Linked DNA regions of Oryzias latipes. The protein of the gene in region 1 interacts with the protein of each later gene in a biochemical or structural test. Links are inferred from orthologs where the notes say so. Each region holds a gene or a part of one and is shown on either strand. Other genes may lie near its edges.

Evidence for each region.
Region 2: of the proteins of mcm7 (region 1) and cdc7, one has a biochemical effect on the other in vitro, tested with the Homo sapiens proteins (2 studies listed by BioGRID). The link is inferred for Oryzias latipes from reciprocal best matches to the Homo sapiens genes MCM7 and CDC7.
Region 3: the proteins of mcm7 (region 1) and chek1 form a complex in vitro, tested with the Homo sapiens proteins (2 studies listed by BioGRID, with this or other methods). The link is inferred for Oryzias latipes from reciprocal best matches to the Homo sapiens genes MCM7 and CHEK1.

Annotation. Positions count from the first base shown.
Region 1 is NC_019868.2:6,627,066-6,632,575, forward strand, and holds the start of mcm7 (DNA replication licensing factor MCM7), read left to right. Parts: upstream 1-1,782; coding exon 1,783-1,813; intron 1,814-3,165; exon of another isoform or gene 3,166-3,208; intron 3,209-3,695; coding exon 3,696-3,775; intron 3,776-3,972; coding exon 3,973-4,137; intron 4,138-4,700; coding exon 4,701-4,825; intron 4,826-4,917; coding exon 4,918-5,098; intron 5,099-5,181; coding exon 5,182-5,319; intron 5,320-5,390; coding exon 5,391-5,510. Other genes in the region: cohesin subunit SA-1, read left to right, coding at 715-765. UniProt on the Homo sapiens protein: Acts as a component of the MCM2-7 complex (MCM complex) which is the replicative helicase essential for 'once per cell cycle' DNA replication initiation and elongation in eukaryotic cells.
Region 2 is NC_019875.2:5,919,705-5,925,070, forward strand, and holds the start of cdc7 (cell division cycle 7-related protein kinase), read left to right. Parts: upstream 1-1,820; 5' UTR 1,821-2,127; coding exon 2,128-2,212; intron 2,213-2,643; coding exon 2,644-2,730; intron 2,731-2,813; coding exon 2,814-2,949; intron 2,950-3,112; coding exon 3,113-3,206; intron 3,207-3,277; coding exon 3,278-3,420; intron 3,421-3,484; coding exon 3,485-3,776; intron 3,777-3,869; coding exon 3,870-3,977; intron 3,978-4,048; coding exon 4,049-4,197; intron 4,198-4,432; coding exon 4,433-4,515; intron 4,516-4,587; coding exon 4,588-4,737; intron 4,738-4,965; coding exon 4,966-5,351; 3' UTR 5,352-5,366. UniProt on the Homo sapiens protein: Kinase involved in initiation of DNA replication. Phosphorylates critical substrates that regulate the G1/S phase transition and initiation of DNA replication, such as MCM proteins and CLASPIN.
Region 3 is NC_019872.2:13,130,624-13,134,788, forward strand, and holds the end of chek1 (serine/threonine-protein kinase Chk1), read right to left. Parts: intron 3,202-4,165; coding exon 3,118-3,201; intron 2,921-3,117; coding exon 2,854-2,920; intron 2,781-2,853; coding exon 2,612-2,780; intron 2,509-2,611; coding exon 2,380-2,508; intron 2,294-2,379; coding exon 2,192-2,293; intron 1,271-2,191; coding exon 1,175-1,270; 3' UTR 953-1,174; downstream 1-952. Other genes in the region: V-set and immunoglobulin domain-containing protein 10-like 2, read left to right, coding at 555-706. UniProt on the Homo sapiens protein: Serine/threonine-protein kinase which is required for checkpoint-mediated cell cycle arrest and activation of DNA repair in response to the presence of DNA damage or unreplicated DNA.

The DNA.
Region 1 (5,510 bases):
AGCCGCATGTTTTCATCCGATTCACAACACTTTGAATGCAGAAATTCTCACAAAAACTAAGCTTAATTTTGTCAATATGTTGAAATCCAAGTTTATTTAGATATTATTTGTCCTTCTAGGGAACACATCAAAGTGCTTTCGATATAAATAATAAAATATAAATACTAAAAATAGTTCTAAAAAAACACCTACTCATTCTGCTAAAACTATGTAAAGGCTAAGCTACAAAGATGAGTTGTAAGTTTTTTTCTTCACAATGTGACGTGGTCTGGCCGTACTGACCTCTGAGATCACCAGCAGACCTGCGCCTGAGGACCTGATGACAATGAAGGTCCAGTTTCATTGAAACTTTTAGAAAAAGTAATAAAAGCATCTTAAAATGGATCCTAAAGCCGACTGGGAGCTAGTGCAAAGATTTCCAAGCTGGAGTAATGTGCCGCTACTTTCAGGTTCTGGTTAAAAGGCACAATAAATATGTCCTCTATAGTCAGAAAAGAACATGTGAAAAAGACCAGAAACCCCATTTTCATTGGAGCGAGTCTGTAAAGAAGAAGTAGAGATCCTGTTGTGAGCTAGCTTTAGTTTTTGTTCAAAGTTGAGACGGTTGGAATGATCTGTAAATCAGTTTGTACGGTTAGTGTTCCGCAAACTGTTTTGGTTGTGAACTATTTGATTGTGAAGTTAAAAGCGTCCTCTGGTTGTGTTTTCTTTCAGCCTTCTACAAGGCACACCTCCGTCAGCGTCCTGGATGAGCTCTTTGACTGAAATCTTTCGGGGATCCTCCAGCCAGATCTTCTGGAGCTTCAGGAGTAAAAAGTACTTAAAAAAAAGGTTTCTTTTTCTGTTTGAGAGCTGTTGCCCTTTGTAACTTTGTTTATAAATATTTTTGTTTGTTGTAAAAGATGAAATATTTTTGAAAAGTTGAAATGTTTATATTTTATTGGAAGTAATGTTCGAAACCTGTCAGCTTTTTTATAAACTGAAAGTGCAAGGACTTCTTAGTATGTTGTATTGTTGGCAACATGTGTTTTGTTAAACAGTTTTGTTTATTTTTTTAAGACTCTTATTCAAAAGTGTTGTGTTTGGTGTTTCATCATTTTTGATTTTGTATTTCAAAATGAAATTAAATGTTGTAAAACACAGGTATCGGCCCTGATTGATATGTGTGATGGGAAAACATGTGTTAGGTTTTGAATGATTTAAACATATAAAGCAGTCAACTATATGCTTTAACAACCATGACAGATCATAAAAATAATAGAGCCATTAACCAGAGCTGAAAAAGATACCAGTGATTGCATAAAAATCTCTTACCTCTAGTTTTGTTTACACATTCAATGAGAAAAATTACCTATAAACATGTTTGCTTTTGCATTTTTTTCTATCAAACAAAATGTAGTTTAGGGTTGGATTTTGCCCTGTACCTCCTTTGTCTTGTAGGTTCAGTCTGTTCATGCAAAATCTTATCGTCACATTTCGCGCCATTCCTGACAAACTGGGCGGAAGTTTATCCAGTCACGTGAGACGTTGTCTCCAGCAACTTTCCCGCCACTATCAAATCCCGCCCCTCCTCTGTGAAAGCCGCGAAACTATTGGCTGATGCGATTGTCAGACTCGCGCCACTTTTTGCTCTCCGACCGACAGGAGCTGGGTGCTTGTGAATGAGTTCAGCACTCCAAGAATAGAAAATAAAATATCTATTTAAGCTTTACGTTTGACTTCATCTGGGCTTTGTAGCGTTGCGTTACGAATCATCTGTCGCGGAGCTGAACGCCTGCAGCCATGGCGCGAAAGGATTATGCGGCAGAGAAAGGTAAGGACTTGTGTGTCTGTGGAGAACAGCATGGCAGCAACAGGTTGGCCGGATTTCCTTTTTTGACAAATATCTTTAAACGAAAAGCAAATCGTGTGAAGCTGCATGTCGCTGAACATTTCATATGAAGATTTACGTGTTGATGATGTCATTCATTAGTGAACTTTATCTCATACACTACTTTATCTCACCTGTAATGCCAGTTTTATACTTTTAATTTCTATTTGTCGTGGTTACATTACAGCACGGTGTGTTAGAGTAACCCGTTAAGACATAACTACTCCTAAGATGGTTACTAATAAGTTGGTGAGTCGTACTTCGTTGGAGTTGGTGACTCCGCGGTGACCCGGATGGAGCCTTAAACAAAGGAGCAGGCGCCACACTCAACTTCAACGCACATGCCCTGCGATGGTGGCCCGCAGAAAGTTGACATTTCACAATGTATATAAACAGTCTGCCGCCTTTAACAACAACTTTATCTTTACGTACAAATATGAACGTATATTTTTAACCAGCATAAATAAAGTGCTTTTCATGATTGGGTAACTTCTACAATTTCCCTTTATGGTGAAAAGGCTTTTAAACACCACAAAATCACAGGTTTTGTAGTTCGTGTACACAGAGTCCAAATGTGTGGCCAAAGTAGAGACTCCAGCCTTTTTCCTGAGTGTTAGCATGCTAGCTGCGTAGCTGTTGTGGCGTCCGTGAACGGGCCATTTTGTATTTAGCGCTTCGTGCGGTGACTCAGCCGGCGCTGCTGCTGCTGCTGTAGAGCCGCGCAGTCCGTTCCCTTCCGTGAAAACAGACACGCTAACACTTCAGACTCAGGGTTTTGAACATCTATACAACGTAACTACTGACAGACCCTTTAAAAAACTTGTGTGGCAACAAGCAGAGTCAGGAAAAAACACACACAAGAACACAAAAAACGATGCAACTAAATTGTGCTCAAACACCTCTCAGTGTATGTAAACGGTACTTATTATGCGCCAAACTAGTTTTCATGCTGTTACATGGATAGTTTATGGTCCCCGGGTAAAAATAATTTATGTTACCGTTTTTGGATCAATATATTTCGGGTTTGCGCATGTTTAGAACACCCCTTGGGACTAGTTTTTGCCGTCTCCCCCCTTACCGCTGGGCTATTTATCCTATTAAAGATGCGTTTGGTCGGGGCGGCGTGTACGAATCACTACCCTGCTAGCAGCAGCTAATGATAAAAGATGGCTGGCCGCGGTTAGAAAACAACAGCATGGACTGCTTTTAAGAGCGGAGGAGCCGCGGAGGGATATGAAGTGACGCGGCACAAAAGCCATGTGCTGCTTTGTTTACAATAACATCCTCGACCAGATACGCAATAAAGCCACACTGGCGCTTTCCCGTTGCTACCTACAAGTAAGTTAAATGGTTTTTATCGCCACACAAAGGCTGTTTGTTTGTTAATTCCGTTAGTTCCGCGGTTCTGCTTCCGAAGTTGGGGTTGAAGTGTTTTCAAAAAAGAGGGGCGCCGAAGTGAATGCGCGCTTGTTGTTGTTTTATTTACAACGCGCTCTGAGGAAAATCCGCTCCAGGAAGCCCGTTTGTTGTGTACCCGAAAATCGCGCTAATGTGCGCACCTGTGCGAAAACTAGCTTCCATCAGGGCTCCGGCGGCTAATTGTGTGTTACAGTAGGCAATAGTGACTCATCGAGATTACAGGATGCCATGTTACTCAACAAAGAGGGTCGTCGCAGGACAACAAATTAGCTCCCAGTTTGCAGGCCTGCAGCTTCAAATTGATAATCATTCTGTTATAGGAATATAATGCATAAAACTGTTTTTGCCAACAGCATTCAAACCGCCTTTGTTTGTATTATTAAGACCGGGGATTTGTGTTTTGCAGAAAAGTGCAAAAGGTTCCTGCAGGAGTTTTACACAGAGGACGGCAATGGGAAGAAGGTGTTCAAGTACGGAGCACAACTTGTGAGTACAGCCAATGCACAGCACATGCATTTATGGCAGATGGAGGCGTTTCAGAGAGCGCCTGTTTTCTCTTCTCATTGTCATTATTATTCCAGTTTATCCACCATAATCTGCTTTTTAAATCAACCAACTGAGTCCTTCCCATCAGCTTGTCAACATGCTTGTTTTTCTAATAGCTTTGGTGTGTTTGTGGATAGGTGGCTTTGGCCCACAGGGAGCAGGTGGGCCTCTTTGTGGAGCTGGACGACGTGGCTGAAGAAGACCCTGAGCTGGTGGAGAGCATCAGTGAAAACGCCAAACGCTACACGGGCCTGTTTGCCGACGCCGTCCACGAGCTGCTGCCAGAGTACAAAGAGAGAGACGTGCGTTTTAGCACATTTTTTGTTGTTGTTGTTCTTATTATCTTGTTGCATGGATTATTGCAGTTTGTCTGCAAACAGAATTGTGGTCATCTTTAGTAGTTTTTTGACAATCTTACATAGCTTTGTGGTAGAAGAAACGTGTAATTGTTGTTTTGGTTCTATTGTAAAAGCATTTTCAGTGGTCTTTTAGTTATGATTGTGTTGTTTTTAGGTGAAATCCATGTCATTTCCTAGGGCAGGGTAGGAGCGGGGGCTTGTGGCCAGCATAGCTTCTACATAACAGTCTTTTGCAGAGTGGTCTTCCATCTGCTTCTGATTCACAACAATTTTGATAAATAAGTGCAATGTTAAGCTATATGTCCTCCATCATGAGAACAATGTCACCCAAAACACAATTTCCATCATAGCGGGTCTTTAAAACCGCCCCACACTGACGACGTTCTGCTGTCAGGACTACATTGTGGAAGCAAACGGAATAAAGATGAGCTCTTTTATGCTGTTTCTATCTCAACTGAGCGAACCATCAGCCGGTCCATCAATCTGAATGTGTTTTAATAATTCAGGTGGTGGCTAAAGACTCTCTGGATGTGTACATTGAGCACAGGCTGATGATGGAACAAAGACTGCAGGACTCTGCAGATACCAGAGACTCCCGAAACCAGTACCCACCAGAACTCATGAGGAGATTGTACGTAGATGTTCAGATTTATTCCAGTATTTATTTATTTTTTGTCCTTTCAGCCTGAATTCTGCTCTGAAAACTGCTTCTCCCGTCCACAGCGAGCTCTACTTTAAACCTGCGAGCACCTCCAAGTCCAAAGTGGTGCGCGACATCCGAGCCGACAGCATCGGTCAGCTGGTCACCGTTCGGGGCATCGTGACCCGCGCCACTGAGGTCAAGCCGATGATGGCGGTGGCGACGTACACCTGTGACCAGTGCGGCGCCGAGACCTACCAACCCGTAAGCTCGCGTCCAAACTGGCGTCACATTCGAACCAGCAAGCAACAGCTTCACCTCCCCCCACCCCCCGATCTCTGCCACAGATCCAGTCTCCCTCCTTCATGCCGCTCATCATGTGCCCCAGCCAAGAGTGCGTCACCAACAAATCTGGGGGGCGGCTCTACCTGCAGACCCGGGGCTCCAAATTCGTAAAATTCCAGGAGCTGCGAATTCAGGAACATGTACGAAGCTCCAAACACTGAAATCAGCTTCTTGGTATTTAGCGACTGTCTTACGAGTTGTCGTTCTCCAGAGTGACCAAGTGCCAGTAGGCAACATTCCCAGGAGCATGACGGTGTATGCACGCGGCGAGAACACGCGTCTGGCCCAGCCCGGAGACCACGTGGCCATCACCGGAGTCTTCCTCCCTCTG
Region 2 (5,366 bases), on another chromosome or scaffold:
TGGTCGCTACCGCTGGCGCCATGACCAGGTGCTTAAAGCACTTGCTGAGAGTTTAGCCTCAGCCATAAAAGCCAGCAAAAACCAGCGCGCTCCAAAGAAGGCAGTACCCTTCATCAAAGCTGGGAAAAACCTCATGTGCGAAAACAATTACCGACAAGCCTTCTCCACAGAGCCTTGGACTGGCAGCTGCAGGTTGACCTAGAAAAACAGCTAAGGTTCCCTCAGCACATTGTGAGAACAAATCTCCGCCCAGATATGTTATTAATCTCGGAGACTTCAAAACATCTGATCATGCTGGAACTCACGGTGCCCTGGGAAGAGCGTATGGAGGAAGCAAACGAGAGGAAACGCGCTAAGTACCAGGAACTGGTTGAGGGGTGCAGGGAAAGAGGCTGGAAAACATTCTATGAGCCTGTAGAAGTTGGCTGTAGAGGCTTTGCGGGACGTTCCCTTTGTAAAGTCCTCTGCCGTTTAGGTATCACAGGGGCGGCCAAAAAGAGGGCCATTCAATCTGTGTGCGAAGCCGCAGAGAAGGCCACGAGGTGGCTGTGGATGAAGAGGGCTGATCCGTGGTCTGCTGCTGGGACGCAAGTCGGGGTCTGATCAACCCCGGCTGGGTCGCCTGGGTGAGGGTGTATGATGTTGTGAGACCCGAAACACCCGATGACCTCAGGATACATCACTGAGGATGCGTCCCAGTGCATCCATGAGATGTTTCATGTACAAGACAAAGTTAATTCATTTAATCAGAGCAAGTGTACAAAATTCATCAATTTTACCTCGAATCCCAAACTGTTAATTGCTGTTTTTTTATTACAGATATAAAATGATAGAGCACATTTAACCCTTGTGCTATCTTAGATGACCCCACCCTTGTATTGACGTTTTCTCCCTACCATGACAAAGGTGGATAAAGGTGGAAAGATTTCATGTAATCCATGGACACCAGCGAAGATCACAAATCATTGAAGAAAAAAGGTTCAGAGCACTGTCTAGTGGGTCTAGATGACCCAACTCCCAACGTTAAAGTGCCTAGGATAGCACAAGGGTTAAGACACACCCAGACAGCTAAGTTGAATTTCTGTCCCAAAATTTTCCAAATTAAAACTCATCTAACCTCCAAAACAATTAACATCTTTCGGTGTAAGGAATTTTTACATATCAAATGTAATTTCAAGATAATTTATGCACCATGTGTGCAAAAGAAAAGGAAACCTAAAAAGCAGATGTTTTTTGGTGATTGTGATATGATTAAGGTTGACTGGAAGTATTTATAAATGTGGCTTTCAACAAACAAACACGATTCCAACATTGACATACCTGAACGTTCAATTTGAAAATGAAAATAAGAAGATATATTCAGTTTATTTTTAACTATTTCGTTTTCTAGGATTTTTTAATTTATAAATATTGTTTTCTGAAAGAGAATCCAAAATGTTTGGTATTTAAAAAATTGGTTTTATGGAAATCACTATAAAAATGCATAATAAGAAAGCTATAAAACTCCTGAATAATTTATTGGTTTATCTGGGTTAAAGCCTTTGCTTCTGTTGATAAATTTTTTCTCATTTACTCTCTAATAGTTGATGTTTACCTATTAGGAAAACTACAGGCCTCTCATCTTTTTAAGTGGGAGAACTAGAACAATTGGTGGTTGACTGAATACTTAAAAAAATAAAAAATAAAAAAGATTCTCCTGGCTCCAAAATACAGTCACGGTGGCGCCACCATGTGGAAGGATAATGTACTGCCGTAGAACGAACATGGTCCATTGGTCACGTGTCGGGAACTGTTACATCGCGAGATCTGGTGACGTCACTTTTAGCGCGTAGTTTTCTTTTTGTTGATGAAGCTTTCCGGAAGGTCGCAAGACAAATACATATAGTTGAAAGTATGGGGTGTTTGTGTTCTGTGTCTGGCGTTCAGAATTTTTTTGTGTTTTAAAGTTTTTTTACTTTGTGTAAAAGTTTTCTCGAAAGCCTCGCTCTTTACAGATAAAGAGGTGAGTTTGTTTGTGAACGCCATTGCATTTCCGAGACTTCTTCCCCACGTAGAGGAGGTTCTGCTCCCGCCTTGTGGAAGCTCATCTGACCCGTGGCACGCGGAGGTGGGAGGCTGTGGTGTCAGATGGACGCGTCCGCGGTCTGCACTGACGGAACCAGCACCACCGGGCCTGGGAGCCAGGACGGCGCTCACAGGAGGAAAGTCTCCAGTGAGTGATTGACAGGCACGCACGCACGCGGCTGAAACGTCCGCAGAACGGGACAGCGCGCGCGCCCTCAAGTTTCTGACCGTTACTTTGAACATTTTTCTACAGATTCTCAAGATGAAAAAGTTATAGTTTACATAAAATTAGTTGACACTGATTTATCCGGTAATAGTTTAGTTTAGAAAACGGAGGAGGTTCACCACACAGTTAATAACCACCTGTATTCAAATCACTATATTCCAAATGTGCTGAAGCAACAGAAGGCAAAAGCATTAATTTGACCTTATATTTAGTGTTTAAATCTGCATTTAGGATCATTTTAACCAGCGGTGGTTAAATGTACTGAGGCCCCTATAGGCCCCTAAAACACATTTATGTAAAAACAGCAGTTTTCCACTTCTGCTGTCAGGCGTGTGACCCGTTGTGTTTTTCAGAGGATGTGCAGATGGACATTGAACATCTCTGCAAAGCTGTTCCTCAGCTGGCCACAGCTTTCAACATCTTGGACAAAATTGGAGAAGGTATGTGGTTTGATAACAGGAGCTTCATGTTGGAGGGGCAGCCCTGTTTTGAGCGTGCATCTCTGTCCCGCTGTGTTCGTCAGGGACGTTCAGCTCGGTGTACCTGGGCGAGGCACGGATGCGGGACGGCAGGAAGGAGCTGTTTGCGCTGAAACATCTCATCCCAACCAGCCACCCCACACGCATCGCTGCTGAGCTTCAGTGTCTGACCGCAGCAGGGTGCGGCAACAGCTCCCTTTTGTGTTTTTTTAACTCTTTCTTCTTAAATAGTCTGAGATTTGAAGAAACTACCTCCTTACTTCCTTTTGCTTCTTCTGCATCACCTTTACCTCGTCTGGCTGGAACTGTCTTCCTGCAAACTGAAGCGATTGACTTCTTTCAGAGGGAGGGAGAACGTGATGGGAGTGACTTACTGCTTCAGGAGGGATGACCATGTGGTGATCGTGATGCCCTACATGGAGCATCGGGCTCTCGTGGTGCGTTGCACAGACAGCAGCTTTAAACCTGGTTTTGGTTTCTCTTTCTGACTGGACTATACAAATGTTAGGAAATCATCGGGTCCCTGAGCTTCGCTGAGGTCCGTCTGTACGTCTATCACCTGCTGAAGGCGCTCCGACACATCCATCAGTTTGGCATCATTCACCGGGACATCAAGCCCAACAACTTCCTGTACAACCGGAGGAGCGGAGTGTAAGTGGGCGCAGAGCATTGATGGCGTCTACAGCAGTGGTCCCACCTCCTCTTTCTCCTGCAGGTACGCGCTGGTGGACTTCGGCCTAGCTCAGGGCACAGCCGACACCAAAATCGAGTTGCTGAAGGTGGTGAGACCGAGGCCTCTGCAGAAAGGTGGAGGGTCTGCCCCACAGAGGAGCCGAGCACCTCCTAAACCCTTTTCCAAAACCACCTCTGGTTCACTCCCTGCGCCTCCACGGCAGACGGGAGCTTTGCCACCGTCCTCTTCTCCTGTGTCCTCTCCGGCCTCGCAGAAACCCCCGGTGAAAAAAGCACGCCTGCCCACCTCCTCTCTTCACACGGCTCGGTCAAAGGTGTCTCCTCTGCAGAAATGTGGTCGCTGGGCTTCGTCCGCGTCTCCCGTCTGAGTTCTTGCACCAACCTGCTGCTCTGACTCCTGTCTCTAGGACCTGGGGGGGCTGCGCAGAACTCCACGACCCGTGTTTGGTGAGAGGAACCTGAACAGCTGCACGCCTGCCCCCTCCACCACAGCGCCGGATGCCAGGAAAGCAGAGGTAATCCTGTGATAGAGCTGCTGCCATGTTTTTCTTTGACGTCTGCAGCGTTTTCACTCCTGTGCCTTCAGGAAGCGCTCAGCTGGAGGCTCTCCTCGGCGAGCCGAGCGGCAGGCCGGACTCTCAGCAGCAGCAGCCAGAAACCTCAGAGGGCCGTCCAGCCGGGCCTCACCTGCGACTGCTTCCTGACCGACCGCGTCTGCAACATCTGCATGTCCAGGTAAACGTCCCAACAGGAAACTGCTGTCCTCTTAGAATTGGGCTGCATTCCAGTCTGAAGTTTTCTGAAGATGACATTCAGACTGGAAATTCAGGGATTCAACTTTCAATCATCTACAATCCTTCATTAAAACAGTAAAAGAATGTTTCTATCAGCTGAAATCTCATTTTCATTTCTACAATTTTGCCTCTGTTGCAATAACTTGTCATGTTTTCTCATCCGATGTTTTCTGAAGAAAGCAGCAGGTGGCGCCGCGGGCTGGAACTCCTGGCTTCAGAGCGCCTGAAGTCCTGACAAAGTGTCCCGACCAAGGCACAGGTTGGTAGCCTCGGCCTGGTGCAGCTCCTCAGGCTGACGCTGCATTTGAAGTAACCTGCCTGTCCTCCGCAGCCATAGACGTGTGGTCGGCCGGCGTCATCCTGCTCTCGCTCCTCAGCGGCCGCTACCCGTTTTTTAAGGCCGGCGATGACCTGACGGCGCTCGCTCAGATCATGACAGTCCGAGGTTCCCGGGAGACCATCCGGGCAGCCAAGACCTTCGGTTTGTGTTGATCTTCTCCATCCTCTAGTGGAGGGGCTCCAGCAGAACCTCCTTGCTTTTCAGACACGGCCGTGAGGTCCGGTGCCTCATTTCAAGCGTCGTCTCTGATTCTGTTCGGGTCCAGACGGCAGATGGAAACACTGACCCAAAAACTGAAAGTGTGCAGAAATCGGGAAGTGTTTTTGAGGGAGGTGTCTTTAAAGTCGACCTTTTTTGGCCTTCCTTCAGGTAAAGCGGTGGTGTGCAGCCAGGAGCTGCCCCCTCAGGACCTCAGGACTCTGTGCGAGACTCTGCGAGGACGCAGGAGGTCCTCCACAGGTGAAGGCGTCCCACCAGCGATGGCAGACGCCTGTCGGAACAGAATGGACGGAGCATCGGCGCGTGGGCCCGCTGACGCAGCAGAACCGAGTCTGCAGAAGCAGGAAAGTCTGAGCAGCTGTGAGCGCACAGAAAGCCTCGTGAAGCCAAACCTGGAGGCTGAGGAGGAGGTGGAGGACTGGGACAGGGTTCCTGATGAAGCCTACCACCTACTGGACCGGCTGCTGGACCTGAATCCAAACACCCGGATCTCTGCGGCTGAAGCACTACAGCACCCCCTGTTTAAGGGCCTGTGAGTCTGAGCACCTGAA
Region 3 (4,165 bases), on another chromosome or scaffold:
AATCATAATTAAAAAGATCACAGGGAACTCTTTCACAATAGATCAAAAGGTGATCCTAGTGGGTCTTTAAGAGTAGAGGGCAAAGCTAGGAATCCAGTTGATTGTTTTGGGTATTTTGGGTAACGTTTGATGGTAGTTCGGAGTTGTTATCAAAGCCCAGAATAACCAAAATCAAGCAAAAGGTTGGACTAACAAACAGGTGGGACAGGTTTTAGAACACACCCATTAATGAAATAAAATGGTGAGATCTCAGGATTTAATGATCACAGGTCAAAAACACTACATTACCTTTCAAGCTTAACTTTATTTTTGAATAGTAAAAAAACAAGCCTACGGCTTGACTAATTTCTATTAGTGAAAGGGGACCTACTTGTGTACCAACTACAAAGCCAACACTGTTTGTTAGAATCATCTCTAAATTAGCCTCTAACAAGAGCTCATTGGGACACGGAGTAAGGTTTCAGATCTTAAATCTGCATCCAATGATCAGACCTAGTAAGGAGGCAGGTAGGCATCCTTAAGTTTCTCAACTGTCCATTATTCCTCTTTTTCAGGTCCAGTTATTGCGATACCCCGAGCAGCCTCACCGCTTACCATCCCCCCTCCGAGTGCCACTCCAAGCCCCACCCCCACAATCCAAGCCCCTCCCACAGATGATAACGAGCCCGTCAGCGTCACTATCACAGTCAAGGCTACAGGCTCGTAGTGGTACCTGATGCTGACCATAGCTGAAGGGTCCAACAGCATTCTAAAAAAAAAAAAAAAAACCAACCCATCTGTTCACAGAGATTTCAGATATTAGCACTTTAAAAAAATAAAATTATTTAGCGCAGTCATTTCAAAACCTTATGGTCAGTGGGCGCTTGTTTCCCCCGCATTATTTATACGTTTCTTTTCAGCTGAAGTTTTTCCACAATAGGTTATGTCTGTGTTACGAAGGATGCAGCATACAGTTGGTCTGTCAGTCATTTATTCATCTCTTTGTAAAGCCTAATATTCATGTAATGTAATAAAAACATCTTAGTCTAAACACAAGCAGTCTGTCACTGTATAACCGAGTTTGTTCACTTTCAAACTAGAAATATTAAACAGGAACTTTGCACGATGACAGCGGAACTTTCACACACAACACGGAAATATGTACAGCGAAAGCCTGGAGTCCATTTGAAGCTGTTCACACCACAGGCAGTAAAATCTTCTGACTGTTGACAATGTCGCCCAGCTTCTGCTTGATTTTCACAAAGAGGCGCTTGAACTCCAAACCGTCACCCTAAAAAAAACACAAGGAAAACATGAATACCTGTTGGTCTATCCTTTACTGTAAGAGATTAACATTGAAGGTACTTTAAAAGGCCAAAGACAGGAAGCCTTTGTACAATAGACACGTCTTTTTAACATGATCTTGTGGCCTTTTTCTCATTATGGAGGACATATAGAAAAGACTTCAAGTTTAAAACAGCAATTCTGAGTATTTTTTTTTAATTAAAACTGTGGTGACTCAGTAGCAGATGAAAAAATGTCCTGAAAAAGCTCCCAGTTGTGACGTAGAAAATACGCTGGGTACAAGCTTCCTGCTCCGCTCCAATCTGATGCATCCACTTGCAGACAAATACATCCATGCACGTCTTTGTTTTCTTTCTCTGAGCTGGAATCTGGCTCTAGACTGTACCGCAGGATGGCTCCAATACTGCTCGAAATTTTGTTACACAGGTAATGTAAGGGAGTGTGAGCTAGGGGCTGTAAGCTAGTGGGAGTGCATTTTAAAGGGATGCTGGGAAATGGAGGTAGGCTTACTCTGAATCAACAGTTCCGCCCACAACTCGGAGGCAAATTTCTAATGAACGTCTGCTGCTCTGCAGAAACTTTGTCTTAGAAAACGACAGTTTTTGGATTTTGACTAAAAACGACATATTTATAATTAAAAGGATGACTGGGAACACTTTGACAATAGATCAAAAGATGATCAGAGTGGGACTATGGACTGTCCTCTGCAGTCATTTCTGATTTTTCCAGATCTTTACTCCCAAGTCAGACAAATACAATAAAATAAATAGAAATGTAAAACAATTTTTTTACTGGTTTGTTTTTACCTTTCAGCTTTTGTTGGTGGTCTTTTTATTATCTCATTAGTGAATGACAGTGACGATGATTTAGATTCATGGGGCAACTACAAAACAAAGCCTAAACCTACCTTAGACAGCCTGAAGTCCAGAAGCACTTTCTGGTTCAAATGCAGGAGCAGGACCTTAAAGACTAGCGGGTTGTTGCGTTTATCCAGCGTGTTCAGAGTTACCTGTAAGTATTGAGAAGAGATCGATGTTTCTTTCCACTTTTACTTAAAAAAAAAAACGTGGTCATCTACAAAAAATACAGCTTTACCTGTCTGCAGGTGAGTTTGAAACCGAGTGCAAGAGCATCACAGGTGTCTTTCAGCGCAGACAAAGTTGCATCAGCATCCACTGTGGTGAAGAAACGGGTCATTCTCCGAACTAATTTCTGCCACGGCGACTGTGGAACACAAAAAACTGAAGTTAGAACTGGGAGGAGGTGGCGATAGATGATAACAGACATCCAGAAAGAAGAAGAACCATCCCTGAAATTTAACCATCACCTGACTGGCTCCAGGCGTGGCCAGTAACTGACTACCCAGCAGCATGTGCTCAGGCTTGGTCGGCTGCGAGAAGCTGACTTGACCTTCGCTTTGCCCAAACACCAGCATGGCTTCCCAGCCGCCAGCGGCAAAATCAGGCTGAGAGCTGGACAGCTGCATCCTGTCGTCACTGCACAGAAGAGGAGCTTTAAGCACATGGGTCAACAAAAACACAAGGAGGAGGAGAAGGACACGTTTCAGACCTGCTAGCACGGAACATAAAATCCCTGTTGTTGTGAAGAACCTTGCTGCAGCCCGAGCTCAGACATCCTGAGGAGGCACAGATTCATTAATACATCATTATCCTGCCTTAAACCCATTTTACAGAACTTCTCAACAAACTACAAGCATATCAAAGGTCATTGTAAAATAATGACTTTTTCATTATATCTTTATCCAAGAATATTCCAACAGTGAAGGATCAAATCTTTGCAGCAGGTCTGTGTGGGACTGATGGTGCCTCTTGCCTTGTGTAAACCAGCGGTCTTTCTTTAGCTCTTCTCCAGTGATCCGGGTATTGGGATTGGGTTGCAGTAATTTGGACAACAAGCCTAAGGACATTAGAAGAATTATCATCCAACAAAGTCATTTCTGAATCTAAACTGAAGCACTTTTATTTTAAAGCAATCTGATACTAGGCTCCAACATTAGTCCAAACACAGAAGTGTCTTTTCCTTATCAAACATATTTCTCCAATGGCAGAACCTGATAGAACAAACACAATGAACTAAAAGAAAAGACAGAAATGTTGGAATAGAAGTCTAAGAAATCTCCACCAAAGGTAAGAAGCTTTTATGTTATAATGAGGTGGGAGTATGATTACGCGGGACCACATGTGAAGAGCAGTTGTTGGGAGAATGACATTAAAGATCAGGGGCCTCATTTATAAAACTTGATGCGTAGGATTTGTGTCAGAAGTGGCGTACGGATGAAACATAGGACGTGCGTACGCACAGAAATATCCGGATTTATAAAACCGTGCGCACGCACATCCTACGCATCTTTCCCTTAAAAAATCACAACCGATTCTAAATGCAGCGCAGCTTTTGCGGCTGCATGAAACGCCCATAGTTGCCCATAAATAGTCCGTGAAACGCCCACAAATGAATATTCATTGATTGCGAAACCATGGCAAATACAGAGAGGAAATCAAAAAAACGGAACTTCACTCAATGTGAAGTAGAAGTTATCGTTGGCGAGGTGGAAAAGAGGAAAAAAAGTGTTGTTCTGAGGGCACAGTGTGGGCATTACTAATGCCAAAAAGGCACGTGAGTGGCAAACGGTGGCAGACGCCGTTAATGCTGTAGCCTCACAACCTCGGACCGTGGCCGAAATAAAAAAGAAATGGTCGGACATCAAAGTCGAGGCAAAAAAACGTCTAGCGCTCCATCGCCTGAGTGTGTCTGCCACGTGGGGGGGAGACACCGGAGCTGACCCCTCTTGATGAGAGACTGGCGGCAATAATTGGGGAATCCCTATTAAGTGGAGAGTGCAGAGGTCCAACAGGACGGCTCG